Neodiprion lecontei: one gene and its partners. The protein of the gene in region 2 binds, or shares a complex with, the protein of the main gene of each other region. Links are inferred from orthologs where the notes say so. Each region holds a gene or a part of one and is shown on either strand. Other genes may lie near its edges. The genes, in order: serine-threonine kinase receptor-associated protein, probable small nuclear ribonucleoprotein E, thioredoxin-like protein 4A and protein crooked neck.

Evidence for each region.
Region 1: probable small nuclear ribonucleoprotein E (region 2) and serine-threonine kinase receptor-associated protein share a complex: the UniProt entries of both Homo sapiens proteins name them as parts of the SMN-Sm complex. The link is inferred for Neodiprion lecontei from reciprocal best matches to the Homo sapiens genes SNRPE and STRAP.
Region 3: probable small nuclear ribonucleoprotein E (region 2) and thioredoxin-like protein 4A share a complex: the UniProt entries of both Homo sapiens proteins name them as parts of the U4/U6-U5 tri-snRNP complex. The link is inferred for Neodiprion lecontei from reciprocal best matches to the Homo sapiens genes SNRPE and TXNL4A.
Region 4: probable small nuclear ribonucleoprotein E (region 2) and protein crooked neck share a complex: the UniProt entries of both Homo sapiens proteins name them as parts of the minor spliceosome. The link is inferred for Neodiprion lecontei from reciprocal best matches to the Homo sapiens genes SNRPE and CRNKL1.

The regions. Positions count from the first base shown.
Region 1 is NC_060261.1:3,933,983-3,940,269, forward strand, and holds serine-threonine kinase receptor-associated protein, read right to left. Parts: upstream 4,450-6,287; 5' UTR 3,961-4,449; coding exon 3,843-3,960; exon of another isoform or gene 3,776-3,842; intron 3,712-3,775; exon of another isoform or gene 3,448-3,711; intron 3,355-3,447; exon of another isoform or gene 3,307-3,354; intron 3,070-3,306; coding exon 2,771-3,069; intron 2,681-2,770; coding exon 2,451-2,680; exon of another isoform or gene 2,398-2,450; intron 2,263-2,397; exon of another isoform or gene 2,076-2,262; intron 1,870-2,075; exon of another isoform or gene 1,847-1,869; coding exon 1,710-1,846; intron 1,358-1,709; coding exon 1,149-1,357; 3' UTR 517-1,148; downstream 1-516. UniProt on the Homo sapiens protein: The SMN complex catalyzes the assembly of small nuclear ribonucleoproteins (snRNPs), the building blocks of the spliceosome, and thereby plays an important role in the splicing of cellular pre-mRNAs.
Region 2 is NC_060262.1:5,978,318-5,981,402, forward strand, and holds probable small nuclear ribonucleoprotein E, read right to left. Parts: upstream 1,368-3,085; 5' UTR 1,237-1,367; coding exon 952-1,236; 3' UTR 530-951; downstream 1-529. UniProt on the Homo sapiens protein: Plays a role in pre-mRNA splicing as a core component of the spliceosomal U1, U2, U4 and U5 small nuclear ribonucleoproteins (snRNPs), the building blocks of the spliceosome.
Region 3 is NC_060265.1:6,865,035-6,868,310, forward strand, and holds thioredoxin-like protein 4A, read right to left. Parts: upstream 1,332-3,276; coding exon 1,209-1,331; intron 1,124-1,208; coding exon 987-1,123; intron 899-986; coding exon 685-898; 3' UTR 506-684; downstream 1-505. Other genes in the region: hsc70-interacting protein, read left to right, coding at 2,118-2,391, 2,476-2,888. UniProt on the Homo sapiens protein: Plays a role in pre-mRNA splicing as component of the U5 snRNP and U4/U6-U5 tri-snRNP complexes that are involved in spliceosome assembly, and as component of the precatalytic spliceosome (spliceosome B complex).
Region 4 is NC_060265.1:25,631,305-25,637,145, forward strand, and holds protein crooked neck, read right to left. Parts: upstream 4,141-5,841; 5' UTR 3,963-4,140; coding exon 3,927-3,962; intron 3,775-3,926; coding exon 3,685-3,774; intron 3,607-3,684; coding exon 3,446-3,606; intron 3,345-3,445; coding exon 3,148-3,344; intron 3,033-3,147; coding exon 2,731-3,032; intron 2,619-2,730; coding exon 2,504-2,618; intron 2,385-2,503; coding exon 2,209-2,384; intron 2,126-2,208; coding exon 1,913-2,125; intron 1,831-1,912; coding exon 1,684-1,830; intron 1,604-1,683; coding exon 1,527-1,603; intron 1,400-1,526; coding exon 1,282-1,399; intron 1,174-1,281; coding exon 913-1,173; intron 792-912; coding exon 621-791; 3' UTR 534-620; downstream 1-533. Other genes in the region: uncharacterized protein LOC124294976, read left to right, coding at 5,290-5,337. UniProt on the Homo sapiens protein: Involved in pre-mRNA splicing process. As a component of the minor spliceosome, involved in the splicing of U12-type introns in pre-mRNAs.

The DNA of each region.
Region 1 (6,287 bases), on a different chromosome or scaffold from region 2:
ATAGTAACACTATACACATAGATATGATATCACGTGTATGTGTATATTAATAATAAATTTTAATTATTATTTTTTTCTAAAATACACAGGTAATAGTTTCGTCTTTATTCGGTTCATCATCATGTAATACGATTTCATTCGACTGTAACATATTGTATTTTGGACGTATACGATTCGGAAGTAATGTTATTCTCGTACAGTATTCTTGATAATGAAAAAAAAAAATTCAGATCCCTAACGAACGCATAACGACGAATATAATTCAATGATTAGGATGATTTAGCTGATTCAGTTGTTTATTAGACTTTTTTATTTCACATCTTTTTATAGATCATTGAGGTGCTTAAGAAAAAAAAACGTACAGACGAACGATTATTACAACTATATTTTCGGGACCTTATAAATATGAGCATGAATATTATGTACAGAAGATTTCTTCATAAGCTTCCCCAAGCGAAAATACAGTTTGAATTATCCTTCGATACGGGAAATTTTTTTAATTTTCTTTTATTTTTCTGCTTTTGAAAAAAAAGGTGTACAATATAGTTTATATGGCATTATAACTATACTGCATGTCTCATTCAAGTGAAAAAAATTAATAAATACAAACTCGTAGTTCAAAAGCTTCTCATACAGAGTCACCGATATGACACGAATTAACGTAAGGTCACTTTTGCTTCTTAATCGCTTTTCCGCTCAGCTCTTTAGGAAAAGCCGTTCTAATAGAAACGATATCGAGATGAGTAAAATCTGAAAAGAAGCTTGATGGTTGTTCAATAAACTTTTAAGATTGCGATAACTGTAAATCTTGAGAACATATTCAAACGCAACCAAGAGCTTTGGAATATTATGAAACTTATTCCAACAAATACAAGTTTCTCAACGTTCATTTTTCATATTCTCCTATTTCACACTTTTATGCTTGATGATGACGAGCAAATTTTCAATTCCGAAGACACCAACCTTCAAATTAATTAGATATATAATTTGGTTTTCTTCTAAAATTTATTTTGAAGGATTTCGCGCGTCTGTTATCACGGAATTTGGAATTTTTATTGTTGCCAGACGTTTATCCCCGCGTCAAAATTCATCCTGGAATAATCTAACGGTCAAGACTATCATCTGAGGTATGAATTGAGATATGGCGTTTAGCTTGCCGAGACCTCTTGCTTGTTATTGAGTACAGCATTTTCTGGAATCATTGGAGTTTGTTCGATACAACGCCATAGGCCGTAGGTTTTTCCAACGGTAGTTTGCCAAAGCCTCAGCGTCCCATCCTCAGATCCGCTCGCGTATAATTCACCATCCGGAGAAAACCGAACGCAGTGAACAGGCCCAAAATGTCCCTTGAAAGATTCTGTAAACATAAAAAAATAAAAAACACCACATCGTGAGGAAAAATTTCGTCACTATAAACTATGAAGAATTTTTCTAAAAATCAGTTAAATGCACGAAGTTCAAGGGGAAATAAGGCACAGGATTGAAGCCTCTTAAGAATGGCCTTATATTATAAACGCCCAGGCATGCTGCATGCTGTGACCTCAGTTCTGTATTGTCATTCCGTTGTTGGCTGATGAGAGAATTACTAATTGCGGTTTGCTGCTGCGAGAATGAATAATGAGTGTAGGTAAACAGAAAATGTACTTATACGCTTAGGGAAGAATTTTATGAAGTAAAGTAGGAACATTGATAAATGTTAAATACCGTACCGATTTCTGCTCCAGTGCTGTAATCGAATTTGTACATTTTCAGATCTTCTCCTCCGCATACAAATATGCTGCAGTCTGGATGTAAACTTGCGCTGTTCACTTGAGTAGGAACAATAAACTCTCGGATCTTGGTCAACCTGCAATCAACAAATCGAGTCAGGTGAGTAGGATACAAACTTTTCAATGCAGCAATATTTTTTCTGCTAATTCTGGAAGAAATGGCAGATGAAAAAAAAAAAGAAAACGAGTAATGCCGATGCATTATTCTCCTTCCTCGTGTTGTAAACAAGTTGCCTGTGCCAATTGCAAGTAGTTCTCTTTACCAGGAGATGAAAATAAATGTACAAGAGCCCAACTTCCTTCTAGGCCATGGCTGTTCAAGCCAGGGACATTGCTGATCAGGAAGTAAAATGGTCTTCATTATTTGAAAGTAAAAACTGTCCACTCTGGCACGGAACCAGACCTTGTACATCCATAAATGGCTGGATATCTTTCATGGCAAATACCTCTGTTCCTGTTGCACTCGATACAGCGCAATGAAAGTTCATGTTAGGTATGTACCGTTACCTCTAATCTTTTCTGAGCCGATGAAATCTACAATATTCAACGGCTGCAAATCGGAATTTCTTGCGTTGTTGACTGCCTCAGAGATTATTTACTTTTTTTCATACGACAATCGGCGATGCAGAATTATAATTGAACTTGGAATCCAAGTCGGGCGGAGAGAGGGTTAATACTCACTCTTTGCTATCCCAAAACGTGACGACGTTAGAATGAGTTGTCGTAATGATGTTGCCATCTCTGGAGACTTCCATCGAGCTGGGTGTAGCTGGAAAATCGAGTCTTTTCACTTCTTGCCCGCTGTTTCTATCCCACAAACGCAGGCTTTTGTCATCGGCACAGGTAACCAAAGCGGTATCATTTTTGAAAAAAGTTACATGCCTTATGCCACTAGTGTGACCGGAAAATATCTGCAGGGTAATAAAATACGTAATTAGTAGTCAAGTTATACTTTCCCAATTGTCTTTGGATTTTTATATTCCAAACAAATTTATACTCACTTGCGGCGTTGCTTCCGGCTTGTTTAGATCGTAGATTTTGACTAGCTTTTCATTGGAACCAGTACACAGGTAATTTGAGTCAGAACTGAAGTTGACAGACTTAACTATATGCTTGTGCTGAAAGGAGTGAATTTCTTCACCCTTTATCGCGTCCCACACCTTGGCATTGAAGTCCGCAGCGCCTGTAGCTGCTCTGGTGGCCTGTGGGTTCAAAGCGACACCCCACACTGCCCCTTTGTGCCCCTCAAACGTGCCGATCCAATCCCCAGTGTCGCCCTGCCGCAGCATCGGCTTTCCATCTGTAAATAATTATTCATATTTTGTTACCGCTGACATATTCATATACTCATTTTTCTTCCCATTTTACAAATATTCGGCTCACTAGAATGTTTGTCAATGTGTACTACGATGATATATCCTAGATTTTAGCCATATAGTGGTAATTTCTTCTATACAAAATAGAGACGACGTTGAGAGAGGTGGGGGAGTGGGATTATTAGGCATGCATTTCTAAGGTTTAGTTCGGGGTCAGACACCGTAGATGTGAGGGATGATCCCGCATGCGACACGTCTGGCGACAATAGGTAGGTAGGAATCGGTACGCTCAGCTATGAGGCTGTAAAATTTTTCTATCGAACTTATTTCTAATTTATTGATTTTTTCTCATTGGCAACAAGAATTCGCCGACACGCTGATAAAGCTTGTAGCATAAAGCGTGCAGCGTCCATGTGCACCTTGTGCATGTGCCTCTGTACACGAGTGTAGCCTGGGCCTTGGGCATATCGTTTGAAACTAGGCCAAGGCGAACCAGAATGGAATGGACAGCCAAAGCGTGAAAGAGGGAAAAAAAAATAAAACATTGTTTGAAGAGGAGGAGAAGAGGAGGGGTAAGGAATTGAGGAAGAAGAGGAATTTTGCGAAAAAACAGGCATAAATGACAGGTAAAACCTAAGAGTGTCTAACGAAAAGGCGAAATATGACGATGAAGAAATAATTCAATTCCAGATTGACGGGAGAAATGAGTGGATTCGGAAGCGCATAAGCGCGTAATCGAGGCGTTATTTATCCTTACCTTTGCACGCCGAAATTAGGTAGTAGCCGGACTCCGTAACATCGGAAAAGGCTAGATGAACGACGGGTCTCGTATGCCCGCTACAGGTTAACGGTGTCTGCCTCAAATTCGCCATCATTTATATTTTAACGTGTTGATATGAAACGCACGCTGTCGCCGTAAAGCGCGCACTAAATATCAACGCACAATGACGAGAGTTAAGTTTACTGGAAGTTTTTTTGTATTTTTCGGCGCCGATTCCTCGTTGTGGAGACGCAACGGCCTCTCGCACACGATGCTTCGCCGTCTTGACGCTCGTAGACGTTTACTATCTTGTCTCTTATTCTTGAAGCCCGTAGTCGGTGGTAATAATCGAAACGATCTGACCGACTGACTGACGACTCGACTCGACTCGACGCGATACGCAGCCAAGTTCAGACTTCAGGGTCTTTGGCCAGGAAATCATGGCCGCCAGTCCTCCCTGCAACTGCGAAGTGCAACGACGACGCTTTCATGGACCGACCATGAAATTTCTATCCAAACTTGACGCCCCACACTGCAACTTCTATGTCTTTTATTTTTTAACCGGTAGTAAAACGCAGATCGCGACGCGCACACACAACGCGAAAGGACGCTGTCAGGGCAGCCTCTTTGTGCGACTCGGCTGTTTTCGAACGTGACATTTTTAAATAACGAATCTGCAATGATTATAATGCATCCCAAGGCGAACTTGTTCCGGTAATTTTCTGCTCCGGTTTATGGTACTCGTGTACACACGATCAGGTCTGGATTTAATGAGAAAAAGTTTACCAGATTAGAATTATGAAAGTTCGAAGTTGGTCGCTACCCCTGGAACCTAGCAACCATATATACATTAACGCGGACAGTAATACCAGTTGTCTGCCTGCAGGAGCCCCAATCCGTAAAAACAAAAAAAAATTTAGAAAATGGACTTGTATACTTTCGGATTTTTTCTTCAAACTTTACAAGCATTTTATAGGCGATTATTCAGAATCCTTAAACAATTATTTGTATTCATTTAGGAAGGTGTTACAGCACTTTGAAAATGACTAACGCAAGACTGTTTTTAAAGAATTAAATGATAGCGTTGCAGTCGTTTGTTATATCCTAGAAAAATGTATGCCTAGTTCTTCAAGGCATTCAGTACGTGTAAGAATATTTAAAAAAAAGATTTGGAATTATCTTCTAAATATCTTTGGTATTTTTTCGCTAGAATGATGAATGACGTTGCAATTGTGCAAGAAGTATTACTTATAAGGTTGATCAGGGACGGTCTTTAAACGATTGCATGCAATATCAATCTTGCAGATGATTGTAAATGATTTTTTTGCGCATTTACAACCGTCCATAGTATGAATAATACGAAAATAACGAAAAAAATTAGGATCGGAAGGTAAATGAAAGAATTCACTCGAGGGTAGATGTTCTCCTTAATTTTATTCAGTCCGATGTATCTTTAAAAATAGAATTAAAAAGTTCTATTTCATTTACTACAGAGAAAATGTACGTACATGTGCAGTTCGCATTAAAGAGATTTCACTCAAGACATGAGAATATAAGCCTATCATTTTTCCGGTTCCCCTCGCCTCTAAAATTTCAAGGGTTGAAATGCGAGTCAGCGTGAAAACGGGTTTAATTTGAATGGCCGGAAAATTACGGTGACATTGATATCCCGCGGGCCAGTGAAGAATGTTCTTCATTTCGAAGGACTGTACGGGGAAACTTTATTTGCAAGAAATTAGACGAGAAATGAACTAGGTTTCGGGGTTATTTGGGATATAAATTAAGCGAATATACCGTACACTGCATACGCCGGAGAATCCAAAGAATTCATACGCGTCATTCTACATCTGCTATAATGACCTGTCGAATCGTTCTATGGATTCTTATCACCGCCAGTAAAAATGATTTACACGCAATAGTCATTTTTTATGACTATTCATTTTTACGGGAGAAAAAATATTCCAAAAGTCTGCCTAATCGTCGAAGTAAAACACGAAGTAGAATAATAACGAAATCTAATTAGCGCCGCGAAACGTGGCATCCGATCGCGAATCAGGCATCGATGCGTAACTGAAAGCAAGCTATTTTAATTAAATCTCAATGTTCTAGATAAAGAGGATATATATTTGTATCAGCAGATTGCAGAAATATATGCAGAGGGGGGTGGCTGACTTCACGCCGATAGAAACTCTTTGCGAGGTTCTTCATATTAATTAAAACACACCGATACACGTGCAAATTTTATACATGAGTTTCGCGCTCGCTGATAACTTGGGTGAATCTGAGACCCAGCGTTAATTAACGGTCATAAAAAATATACTTCATGTATCGTAAATTGAAAAATCGTAATTCGTAAATCGATGAAAAATTATTCCCTCGCACACCTATTTTATTACAGAAATTATTTCGTTCCGATGCTACGGAGCGTTTTACTTTTTCACA
Region 2 (3,085 bases):
TAGATACATGTTAATTAAGTGAACAAAAATGCTGTCTTTGCTCACTTTTGTTTGAAACCTAGGATTTCGAAGTTCGATATGAATATTTTTCTGTCAGTCAGCAATTATTTACAATTTGTTAGAATGCTTTCGTCTCCTGAATCCTCTATTTTTTGCTGACACATGAGTATCTAGAAAAGGACCTACACAAAGTTCTGATTGACTATCTTTGATAGAAAACTCATTTGGCTGCCAATATGGAAATTTCGTACGTAACATTTCAAGATTTCAAGCAACTTAGGTAACTTTAAACTGTGCAAATAAGCTCGATCGATTGCGACTTAGAGTACATAGCAAAGTGCGGGTAAGCATGGAACAAGACATAGAATTCGAATATCCTCTTTAACTAAGAGGCGACTCGAGTCGACGGAGTTGGATTTTTGTACAGTGTTGTTAAATCCTTAAACAATAATCGATCAGTGATTCAGGTAAAAGAATAGGTAGATAAAAAACAGGTATAAAATAAGTCTAGGAATAAACACACGCAACGTGAAATTTGTACTGTTTTTATTGAACACAACGAGTCGAGGCGATGAGAATTTGATCACAGCGAGAAAGAGAGATATTATATACTTGATTTGAAACTTTTGCAAATATGCATATTACAATTTGATTATTTCGATGAGTACATAGTAAGTTAATATGCTAGATGAGTCGACTCGTTCTGAATCGGAATGAAATAATACAAATTCAATTAAACACTGTGCCCTAATCCTAAGCTTTAAAACTATTTAAATTACAAGTGGTCGCGTTCTTTGTTCGTCGACGGTTTCGACCCTGAGCAAATTTCGCTCTTCGCCGCTCTTCTTTCCCGTCGTTCTTGTCTCCGAACTTCCAACGATGCGCGCCGCGCGCGCCGGTTTCTAATTTTTTAGGTTAGGATAGGTTATGTTGCCGCTCTCTCTTCCCGTTCTAGTTCGCACCGGGGTTCGTATTCTGAATAAGGGTGATGTTGTCCCCCTTCAGCATTATCCTACCCAGCTGTTTTCTGTTCTTCGTTTTGACGTGATACTCCTCGGCATCGTCAAGGACGAGATTCATGTACTCGTCAAAACCGACAATGTGACCCTCGATCCTCAGGTTGATGTTTTCAAAGAGCCAGACTTGTACTCGGGAGCGATTCTGCAGATATCGAAATATCAGGTTTATCGGCTGCACCATAACCTTCTGCACCTTTGGCGGTCCTTTGTACGACATTTTTGCGAGTCTTTGAGATTGCCCGTCACTTTTTTAAGCGTAAGCTTCAGTTTTAAACAAATTCGGCCGATACGTTGATACCGCGTAAACCACGACGCGTTGTATGCTGGGATCTGAATAACGAATATGGCCGCCGCGATGAGCCTGGCGGCACTTTTTCAATTTAAGCTATTTAATCCCGTCGGCAAGTGACGCCGCACCGTTTGGTGGAAGCATGTCGAACTAGCGCAGCAACACTACGGTTGATATAAAGGATCGTTGCATCGTCGCCGAGTTTGGAATGTTATCTTACGTCGATTTTCTGACACAACTCGACGTCAAGGGATTTCATTGGTCGAATCTAACGGAATACGCCAATAAAATGAATTGGTGTTGTGTTGTGTCAGAAAATTGACGTAAAAGGAAAGCGGCCATATGCTTTTATATTTTATGACCGCGACGCGCTAAAATTTGAATAGATTTCACGAAATTTTTTATTAATAAAAATTTCTTCATTCAAGCGATCTATTAATGGAAATTTATTGATATCAACTGACAAATAACAATTTATACTTAATAAAAAATACATGGTTGCATGTAAAACGTTTCAATGAGTCGTTTTTGAATGGTTGTAACCGATTACGTTACTTTTATATGGTGAAAATGAGCAAGAAATGAGCATTTTGTAAAAATATAATAATTTTCTTAATTTCATTGTAGATTTGTGTATTTCTTTTTGATAGCTAGCCAAAAATTGTGATTGTACATGAATTTCGTGAAAAAAATGTTAATTAGATATCCATATTATGCTGCAAATTTATGGGAAATCTGAAAATTCAATGTCCACATGACTAAGCAAATTTTCGAAATACGTATTGTTAATATTTGGCAAATGACGTAAGTTTAATTTCATGGATTCTTAGTCCAAAAAGTAAATACTTTTTCGTGCAAGTAAATATTTGTCAAAATTGTAAAACTGCGATTCGTGAAAATTATTTATTGAACAGAGAAATGTGTTCCAGTTTTCAGATTTCTTCGCACAAATTTTTTGCAACACAATTATTTTGACTCTGTCGTAAAATAACGGTTAAATGTGAAGCTGATCATTTTTGCAACGACTTAAAAACAGTTAAACGAAATGTCAAAATAAATCACGTTACTGAAAATATGAAGAAAAGTAACTTTTTTCTACATAAAAAATGTTCAATTTCTCAATGACATCGCTTTGCCATTCGTTATCCACAACGATTTGAACAACGTGGCGAATACAATAAATCACAACGCGTATTCCATCCACAGTGTAATACGCGACCTTTCTGCTGAACATTCAACTTTGATTCACGCTGGTGGAATCAGAGGCAACTCCACGAATACTGCGCAACAATACCTACTGCTAAACGTAGCATTACGTGACCTGTGACACTCGGAAAACAAAGACCTTTTAACCTCCGGACATGTATTATATATATTTACTCATACAAGAATGCCTTATATACCTACAACTACGGCATGCGCATATCGCCTGAAATTATACAGAAGAGCTTTACGAATTTCTGGCACGTAAAGGATTAAGGTTTAACGGTAGTGACATGGAACGACATTTCACTCACGCCTAACGATGCCGGATGAAATCTCTCCCCCTTGCTCTATCCTTCTCTTTCCTTCGCGTCCAACCGTATCGGCGAAGCCGTAATACATGTACACGTATATATAATATATAGTGCAGATACCACTTCTTGCCCATACATCGAGATTAAAATAATGAAGATTGATGGGGACTCAAGAATGTCACCTTTTTAGCCGTCGCCCTCGATCTTCCCTTCTTTCTCTCACTCACTCACTCACTCTTTTTCTCTCCGAATCCCTGGCA
Region 3 (3,276 bases), on a different chromosome or scaffold from region 2:
AATTCATGAAGAAATTCTTACTGCCATCTTGTTTCTAACTATACTTATACTCATAATTGAAACAACTAACTGGACATTGGAACATAAGTTGCTATGTCGCGTTTTATTGCTTCGATGGTTATTTTTATTATTTATTGGTAATCTTGGTTAGTTTTTGTTATGTCCTTACAACTGAGGATGTGCCATCATTCAAGTGTGATAATACACGAATAATGTACCAAAGATGAAAATTTTAACAATTTTATACTCCGTTATTGGACGTACTGAATAAGATGATGGAAATAACAGTGGCCTTTGTAGATAAGATGTGGAAAATGTATTGCATCAATATATTGTACATAGTTTAACGTTAAGATAATCTATATTTGGAACTGATGTTTAATATTTTTATTAAATAATTACAAAAGATTTGAATAGAGCTAAACTATTTTTACCAGGTATCGGCTAAGTTTCGTTAAATTGGTATAAAAACGGCATAAAAGCGGTATAAAGACAGATCCAGAAATAAATTTAAATGAAAAATTTCAGTTTATTTACATGTGACGGTACAAATTCATCATCATTCTGTAACTGTTAAATAATACCTAAGCTGTATACAACTAATGATGATTAATTTATGTTTTAATGTAAAACAACATCATATATTCGAAACATATATTCAAATCTTTTTGCTGCATAATGTAATTAATAGCGATACTTTGTTGAATAATCTTTTGGCGAAACAACCAAACCTCTGCCTTTTCTAGCGCCCCGATAAACCGTTTCGATGATATCGATCATTTCCTGTTTGTCTTCTAAAGTCCAATTGATTTTATTATTGTTTCCAGTGCCTAAATCAATCATTATATGCTTGTTTCTGAAGAAGAACATGACCGTGCATGGATCGTACAACTCATACCTACAGTTCAGAAAAATTCTGTGGTTATTATTCTGAAGCTTTGCGAAGTACTGAAGAAAATATTATAGCAGCAGAGTGTTATACTTACATTTTATTAAAGTCTGGGACCTCTGTTATATCGACTAGATAAATGACTGCAAAGTTTTTTACTTTTTCTGCAATATTGTAGAGGACTTCATCCATTTTCATACACATTGGATCCCAATCGTGGCCAAATCTGATCACCTGAAAGAAATCGAAGTAGGACGGTTCGTATTAAATGTAAAAAAAAAAGTGAGCAACTAAACTTAGTTATGTGTAATTAACATACGATTTTGTACGACTGAATTTTTAGGTTATGATGACGTGAACTTACGACCACTCGGTCCTCTTCTGATAAAATTGCCTGATCCACTTGCCATCCATTGTGAAGGTGACCCAGCATATACGACATTTTTATAAGGTGTTTGATTTATTCTTGTAATTAATTAAATCCCAATTTGCGTACAACTGGGAAAAATAAATATTTACACGTACAGAAACGTCAAATTACAGTGGCACACATATAGCACATCAAGGCACTAGCGACCCTAGCGGCGTTAACTTGCAACGATAACTGCGTTTGCGTTCTCAAATGTGCCGGTGTAGCATTCGATAGCCACCAACCTTCCACTGCCTTCAAGAAGGTGAGTTGCTGACGTTTTTTTTTCGCACATTTTGTTGTGATTGAAGTAAAATAAGTACTGCGCATCGCACCGTGAACAAGGTAATAAACGACGCTTAATCACGTAATTGTAAAATATTAATGTATTTTTGAGATTCAATAGTCTACATTCACGCTGTAATTTTTATACGGGCTTACGAATCTTGTTACGACCGCATTTTTTACGAGTCACGACTGTTTGTTATCAACGCCGGTTAGACCGGTTGACCTGGTGATATTATGACGATATTTGATTATTCTGAATATTCATTTCTCTGTGCTAAATTGATGATCATTTGTAATTTTGACACCTAGTTCATTCGGACAATGATTTTTATAGGTACCAAATATTCGTGCATACGTATGTGTCAAGGTTTTTCAATTGGAATTTTCTAGATTCGCTGTACACACTATTCGGTAAACATGTCAATTATGAATGATCTGTTAAACGACAATATAAATCGTTGAAAAATCTCATCAACATTGTTAGCTTACAGATTCTAACTCACAAATTTTCTTATCCAGAAAGATATCGAAATGGCTGCTCCTGTCAGTAAAGAGCATCTAGCTCAATTGAAAGTGTTCACCGATTTGTGCATTGAAAACCCTTCGATCCTGCACCTCCCGGACCTCGCGTTTGTCAAAACTTTCATCGAACATTTCGGAGGTAGTGTCCCAGATACCAAAAGCAGCAACACCTCGGGGTATCCGAAATTTAAACCTCAACCCGCCCAGTCGAATATTCCTGAGCCTGAGCCAGCTCCGGAATCTGATGAAAGTGATATCGAACTTGATACGACTGGTGTCATCGGTGAGATTTGGTCATTTCTTTTTCTAATTTATTGAGCTTGTGAAGCCGTTTTGTTATTTTCAAACGAATAAATCTAATTTTTAGAACCGGATACAGACGCCCCACAGAAAATGGGTAATCCTACTCTTCAGCCAACTGAGGAAGAAGTGGCCGAGTCTCAGGCAAAGCGTTCCGAAGCAGTGTCCGCTTTTGTCGAAAATAACTATGAAAAGGCGCTGTCTTTGTACACAGAGGCTATTGTACTGAACCCTCAAGCTTCTTTGCTGTATGCAAAGCGCGGGCAACTGTACTTGATGCTCAACAAACCCAATGCTTGTATCCGCGATTGTGATCGTGCTCTTGAAATAAATCCAGATAGTGCTGCCGCGCACAAGTTCAGGGGACGTGCTTACAGATTACTTGGAAAATGGGAGGAGGCTGCCAACGACCTTCGTCTAGCTTGCAAAATCGATTTTGATGAACAAGCTGATGAATGGCTGCGAGAAGTTACTCCTAATGTAAGTAATAACTACTTTAACATTTCACTTTTACAACTTTTCAGGCTCACTGTGATTTGACATTAGGAATAGCATCACTCAACTTTTTAAGCTTTGTGTCCAAAGTTTGTAACAATGATTAAAGTACCGGTGAATATTTATCCCTCAAAGCGTAACAAAAAATAGGACAAATGAGAAATATATCCTTTCGGCCAATGTTTACTGGTGATATTTTTATGTCGCGTATCTGAAAAAGAAGCGAATTGTATTTCAATGTATACACAATGTGCCAATCTATTGAATCTGATTTTCTGCTACTTTTTACCCGCGTGCGAGTGAATGATATATCGCATAAGCTTGAGTATGCAGGTGATTTGTGGAAAACAGATAGATATAATCCAGTCATACT
Region 4 (5,841 bases), on a different chromosome or scaffold from region 2:
TATTTACATGACCTCAAACAATTTATATACATTGATTGTTCGAATAACCAATTAATTTATGTTGGAAATTAAGCGAAAGGTACGAGTGCGAATGTTTTTTTATATGTGTCAAATACCATATTGGTATGTTGTATATGAAATTCATGAATCTTTGAGTCGTGCTCAGCATTTCTCTGTTTCAGATACGAGAAGTAGGGAACACTATTATTGTATTATAGTATTTCGTCATGTACTGATAAATTTTGATAATACGTACGAATAAATGTAATTTAAATGATTTTTAAGAATGAAAACTTATGGATTTGAATATTGTCTATGACTATCTTCACTAAAACTGTACACGAAAAATACGATCCCTTGCTCATAATATGTATAGATTCGGGTGGCAGACAGGAAATCACATTGAAACGTACAGGGGCATAGAAAATTTGAATGCAAATTTTGAGGTTTCAGTAACGTTTTCTGAAACGTAAAAACAATTTGATACGGGAATTTTCTATGGTGAATTACACACTTGAACATACCAAAAATTGTTACTTTCGAAATACATTTTATTGCAAGATTCACAATCAGTTGAAAAATTTACAATGAGATAAAAAATCGTAAACGATTTGATTGGGTTAACTCGGCGTGGTTTCTGACAATACTGTGGTACCATTTGAAACCGTATCTTGGGTAGCTTCTTTTTGTTTTTTCCATGCTTTTGCAGAAGCCAATAGTTTGAGATTAGGCCTCTGAGACTCGTCTTCTGGAAAAACAAAATCAAATACCTCCTCCCAACCTTCTTCTGCCTGTAAAAAACAATTATTGTGTAGTATAAAGTTCAGCTTATTACTAAATAAGGATTATATTCAACTGTTTGCATCTAATGAGAACCATTATTCTTTCTCGAAAAATAAGTAACGCGCTTACTCCATCATCTCCAACGATTCGTCTGCGTCTTTTGATTCTCCGTGGCATTTTATCCATAATTTTCGCCTGACTATCTTCGTCACCTTTTTCAGTTTCAAAGTCTCGCCATGCTTCCAAAAGCAATGCACGACTTTCTTTATCTCCATTTGTCCGCAGTGCATCATTACCTCGCTCAAAGACACGTCGTGCCAATGCTATGTTATCCGGACCATCGTCTGTCACATAATTTCCCAATTCAAACTTGGCATACGCTATCCATACCTGTCAAAACAAAGATTGTCAAGCATTTAACCAAGTACCAGGAAATTTAAATTCTCGTTGCTGCTTATCATTGTTTAATAAAATACATTCATATAAATAAGAACTTACTTTAACGTGCATTGTACGTTCCAAAAGTCTCTCAAATAGTTGTCTTGCATTTTCTGTTTCTTCTTGAGATATTTCGAAATCTATGTATGATTTCCATAATAGTTCTGGCATGTCCAATCTATTTTGGAGAACAATTAGCGGATTATAGCATTTGTCAAAATATGAAACACTATGTGATCGCATGAAAAATAAATAGATATATATTGTGGATTGCTATGTGACAATACTGTAATTACATGACATACCTCGGTTGAGTGACTGCTAATTCATAAATTGCCCGGGCTCGATCAACATCACCCAGAAGAGTCTCAAGTTCTGCAAACTGAAACAAATACTTCAAATTAATTAATCAAGCACTTGTTTTGCTGAACGTCGTGCTAAAGGAGAAATAGGAATACAAACCTTCATCCAAGTAGTGCAATTCTCTGGGCCAAATTCAAGAAACTTCTGGTATAATATTCTGCATCTATCGAACTCTCGAAGTTGAATTTCCAAATCTATGTAGCCTCGAAATAGTTTATCTCTTGGAGACATACCCAGAGCCATACCCTGTTGAAGAAAGATAACTATAAGAAAAATAAACTCCGATTAGATTCATAATAAAATACTCGTAATAAAATTTTTCACTTACTAGCATTTTTCTTGCTACTTGTAAATTTTTTTGTCTGATTTCAAAGTGGGCATAAAGCAGCCATATTTTTGAGAATGTGAACTGCTTGTGTGGGATTAATTCAAGACAGGCTCTGTATACTTGACGACATCTTTCTATATCCTCAGTTTCGAGTTCTTCAAACAATGCGTAATTTATCCACAAGTAAATATATCTTCGCCAATATTGTTTTTCCTGTGCATATTAATAAAAAGTTGTAGTCTAAACCAAGTACTTGAGTGTTAAAAATAATGTTTCATGTTCAATGTTGAATTCACCTTTGTGGGCGGTACATTAGCTATTGCACGTTCATAAGTTTCCCTGACAAGGTCTATATCAGTTTCAGACTCAACTAATCGTAAATAATCAAACCACGCGTCATAATTAGATGGATTCTCTTTGACCTCCTGTTCATACTGATGCTTTCTTTTACTCACAATGACATCTTCAATACCTGTACATTCATTAATAGTTAAAAATCTACCGTAATTATTTTTCATGTAAAATTCCTCAATTGACTGAGTTCTCTAAAAGCATATGGAAAATTATAAAAAAAAAAAAATAAAATATTACCTGATCGATCACCATATTTCTTTTCATGTATCGTGTAAGCTTTGTATACTTCTTGAGTTCGATCTTTTGGAATGTGGTCCAAAGCATACTTATATATGACTCGCGCACGATCATGCTGAAAGTTGCAAAAATTTGAATTTACATCGTTTGATGTGAATTTTTCTGATTATTTCTACAGACCACTCTTGACATATCGCCAAGTCAAATTCAGATAACTCAAATCTTACCTCTCTCTGACCTTCCTCAAACCTAGCAAAAGCAACGAACAGTTTTTCATCTAAACTTTCGTCGCCATAGAAAGTGACTGCACGTTCGAATACATTACGAGCACCGTTTAAGAAGCCATGAGTCTCTTCAAACCTAGCATATTTTATCCAATGCTTTACATCGGGATGTACCATAACAAAACGTTCATAAATATAACGTGCTCGGTCTATTTCTTTGTATCGTAACTCAAATTTTATATAAGTTTGCCAGGCCTGTTCATCAGGTTCCCATTCCATCCAACGTTCGAACACTTGGCGGGCTCCTAAGGATGAAATAAAATCCAATCTGGTTACCCAAATGCACAGTGATACATTTCTTTATCAAATTTAATCTAGTTATTTCTCTGCGTATGCTGATTATAAGCTTCAAGACATTACCTGCAATATTTTCCAGCATTTCTTCCATGTATGTATATTTGTACCAGAATTGATTTGCTCTTGGCAGAATCGTCACAGCGCGGTCCCATAAATTCCTGGCATGGTTTACCTGCCGATTCCGCATTTCCATTTCTGTATACTTTAACCATAGTGTTATATTTCGATGATCTACGTCCAGTGCACGCTCGTATATTGATCTGAAATGTAAACATACAGGTTTAAAAATAATTTTTGTAACCATTAGCATTTCACCATATATCACATGAATGTTTTAAACGACTAATGTGTTATAGCTTACCGTGCTCTCTGTATCTGCTTCTGACTTTCTTCCCATTGTGCGTATTTTATCCAGTTGGATATTACCGTACGATTCTTTCGTATATTGTCCTCGAATGCTTTCCGTTTGCGATGCTGGTAATCGGCCAACTCATGTGGATCGGAGATTTTTTGTTTTGGTGGCTTTATGAACATGAAAAAGTAAATTATTAATTTATTTGATCAACTTTTTTTAATCAAGGGTAATTTAACTCAACTTACCGGTGGTAATATTTCCAAGTCTCTTTCCTTGGCCTCCCGGAGCAGCTGTTCAGCGGTGATTTGAATCTCTGCAGGTGCTTTATTTTTTACCTGGATGCATCGGTGATGTACAAAATACACGGTTTAATACATTGACAATTATACGCTTGTGATAGAAAAATGCATCAGAAAATTTTCTAGATGCAGTAAACACTAACCTCTTTCCTAACCTAAAGTCGAAAAATAATAATAGGGAAACTTACCTTTGCCACTTTTGGCATTTTCTGTGGCTTTTCCATGATGAACGTATTAGTTTCACGATATCAATTCAATAGTTATGGCATAAACGTGTTATTATTTCATTATTGTTTGGCAAATTCTTTTCGAGTACACACACTTGCTCCGACAAACGTTGACACGGTCACGAACGATGTAAAAATGTGAGAGCGCGTCCATCATAGAACGTATCGAAAGTACGCAGTTTCTGCTCAGATCACTAAGCGTAAAATTCACGCACTTGATCGCTTAAAAATTTCAAACATAACTTTTCAAGAAGAGTCAACACATTAACGTACCTAATTCACACTCAAGGAGAACTGAATGCTCGTGCTGATTTATTTTCAAAATTGTAATTGCATCACTATTGTTCTGTAGCCCAGGAAAAATAAAGCTTCCCGATGAAAAATCAAACCCCGAAATATTAATTAATTAACACCTGAAGAGTAAAGACTAGAGATATGTGTATAATTACGCTGCATCATGTATGTTCAATTTTTTCGAAATGGCTCTGCCAATATCGTCCATTGTGAAATTGTAATACGTTTATAAAAATCAGATTGAAAAATATATGAGACGGCACATGTAACAGTTTCGCAGAACACGGCTGACAATTGATTATACCGCTCTCGCTAAAGACCGTGGGTAACGAAACGTGTCCAGAAACAAATCTTATTGTTAGATGATAGAATAATTCTTACAAAGATTCGAAATTCGGTCAAATTTCAGTTTGAAATAACACTGCGCTCGATCGTGTCGAACATTTTGACTGCAAAAACTGGGTACAAAAACATCGGGGAATGAGTAAAATAAGTAATTTCGAATCTTACCCGAGTTCACGCCACAACGAGCCAAACTCCAAACGGAAGATTTCAATAGCTGCAGAGCCTTCGCGGTGTCAGTTGCTCGATTATACACCGTAGGAATCTCACCACGTAACGAGTCACAAATACAAAGTAAAACAATGGCAATTTTTTTGCACAATACGTTTTTCACTGGTAACGACGAATACTTTCGATAGGAGTGTTCGCGAAAATTCGACCGTTAAGTTTTTGTGACGTCACCTGAATTGTTTGTCGATCGTCGATTGTTTATCCAGAGATGCCACCGGTCACAGATCCCGCTAGAATCTGATTGCATCTCCTAATTGTGAGTACAAAACTGATGCTTTAATATTCTATAACGCGTATGGAATTAAGAAAAGTAAAACAATGACAAACGTTTTGCACAATACGTCTTTCACTCTGGTAATTATGAATACTTTCGGTAGGAGTGCACGCGAAAATTCGACCGTGAAGTTTTTGTGGCGTCACCTGGATTGTTTGTCGATCGTCGATTGTTTATACAGAGATGGCACCGGTCACAGATCCTGCTAAAATCCGATCTCATCTCCTAATTGTGAGTACAAAACTGATATTTTAATATTCTATAGCGCGTATGGAATCGTGATGAACTTGGATTTTCTTAGTTTAATCAGAGTAAATCCCGGTAAATACATATCCGGACTAAAAACATTTTAAATATAAAAACTCTAAGTAAAAACGTGGAGTACCGAAATTAACTCACAATGAAACGATACAAAAAACTTGTAGTCAATCTTGGTCGTGAAGTCAGACTAGAATGCTGCGTACTGAAACGACCTCAAATTATGATAATATTGACAATATTTTACCGTCAATTCAAAGTGTACAAAGTTTGCTAATAAGAAATTAATGCTGCAGTAATTGTGATTTGCTCAATTTTTATCACTACAGGGGCACTTCGCTATGGTAAATATACTCTTTGTATCATCAACTGGTTTTATGGCATGGCACGGTAGACTGCCAATCGGTAACCGACCCCCATTTACTGTTCAGAATATCTCGAAAATTAGTTGTACGCTATGCCATCTGTATGCACAGA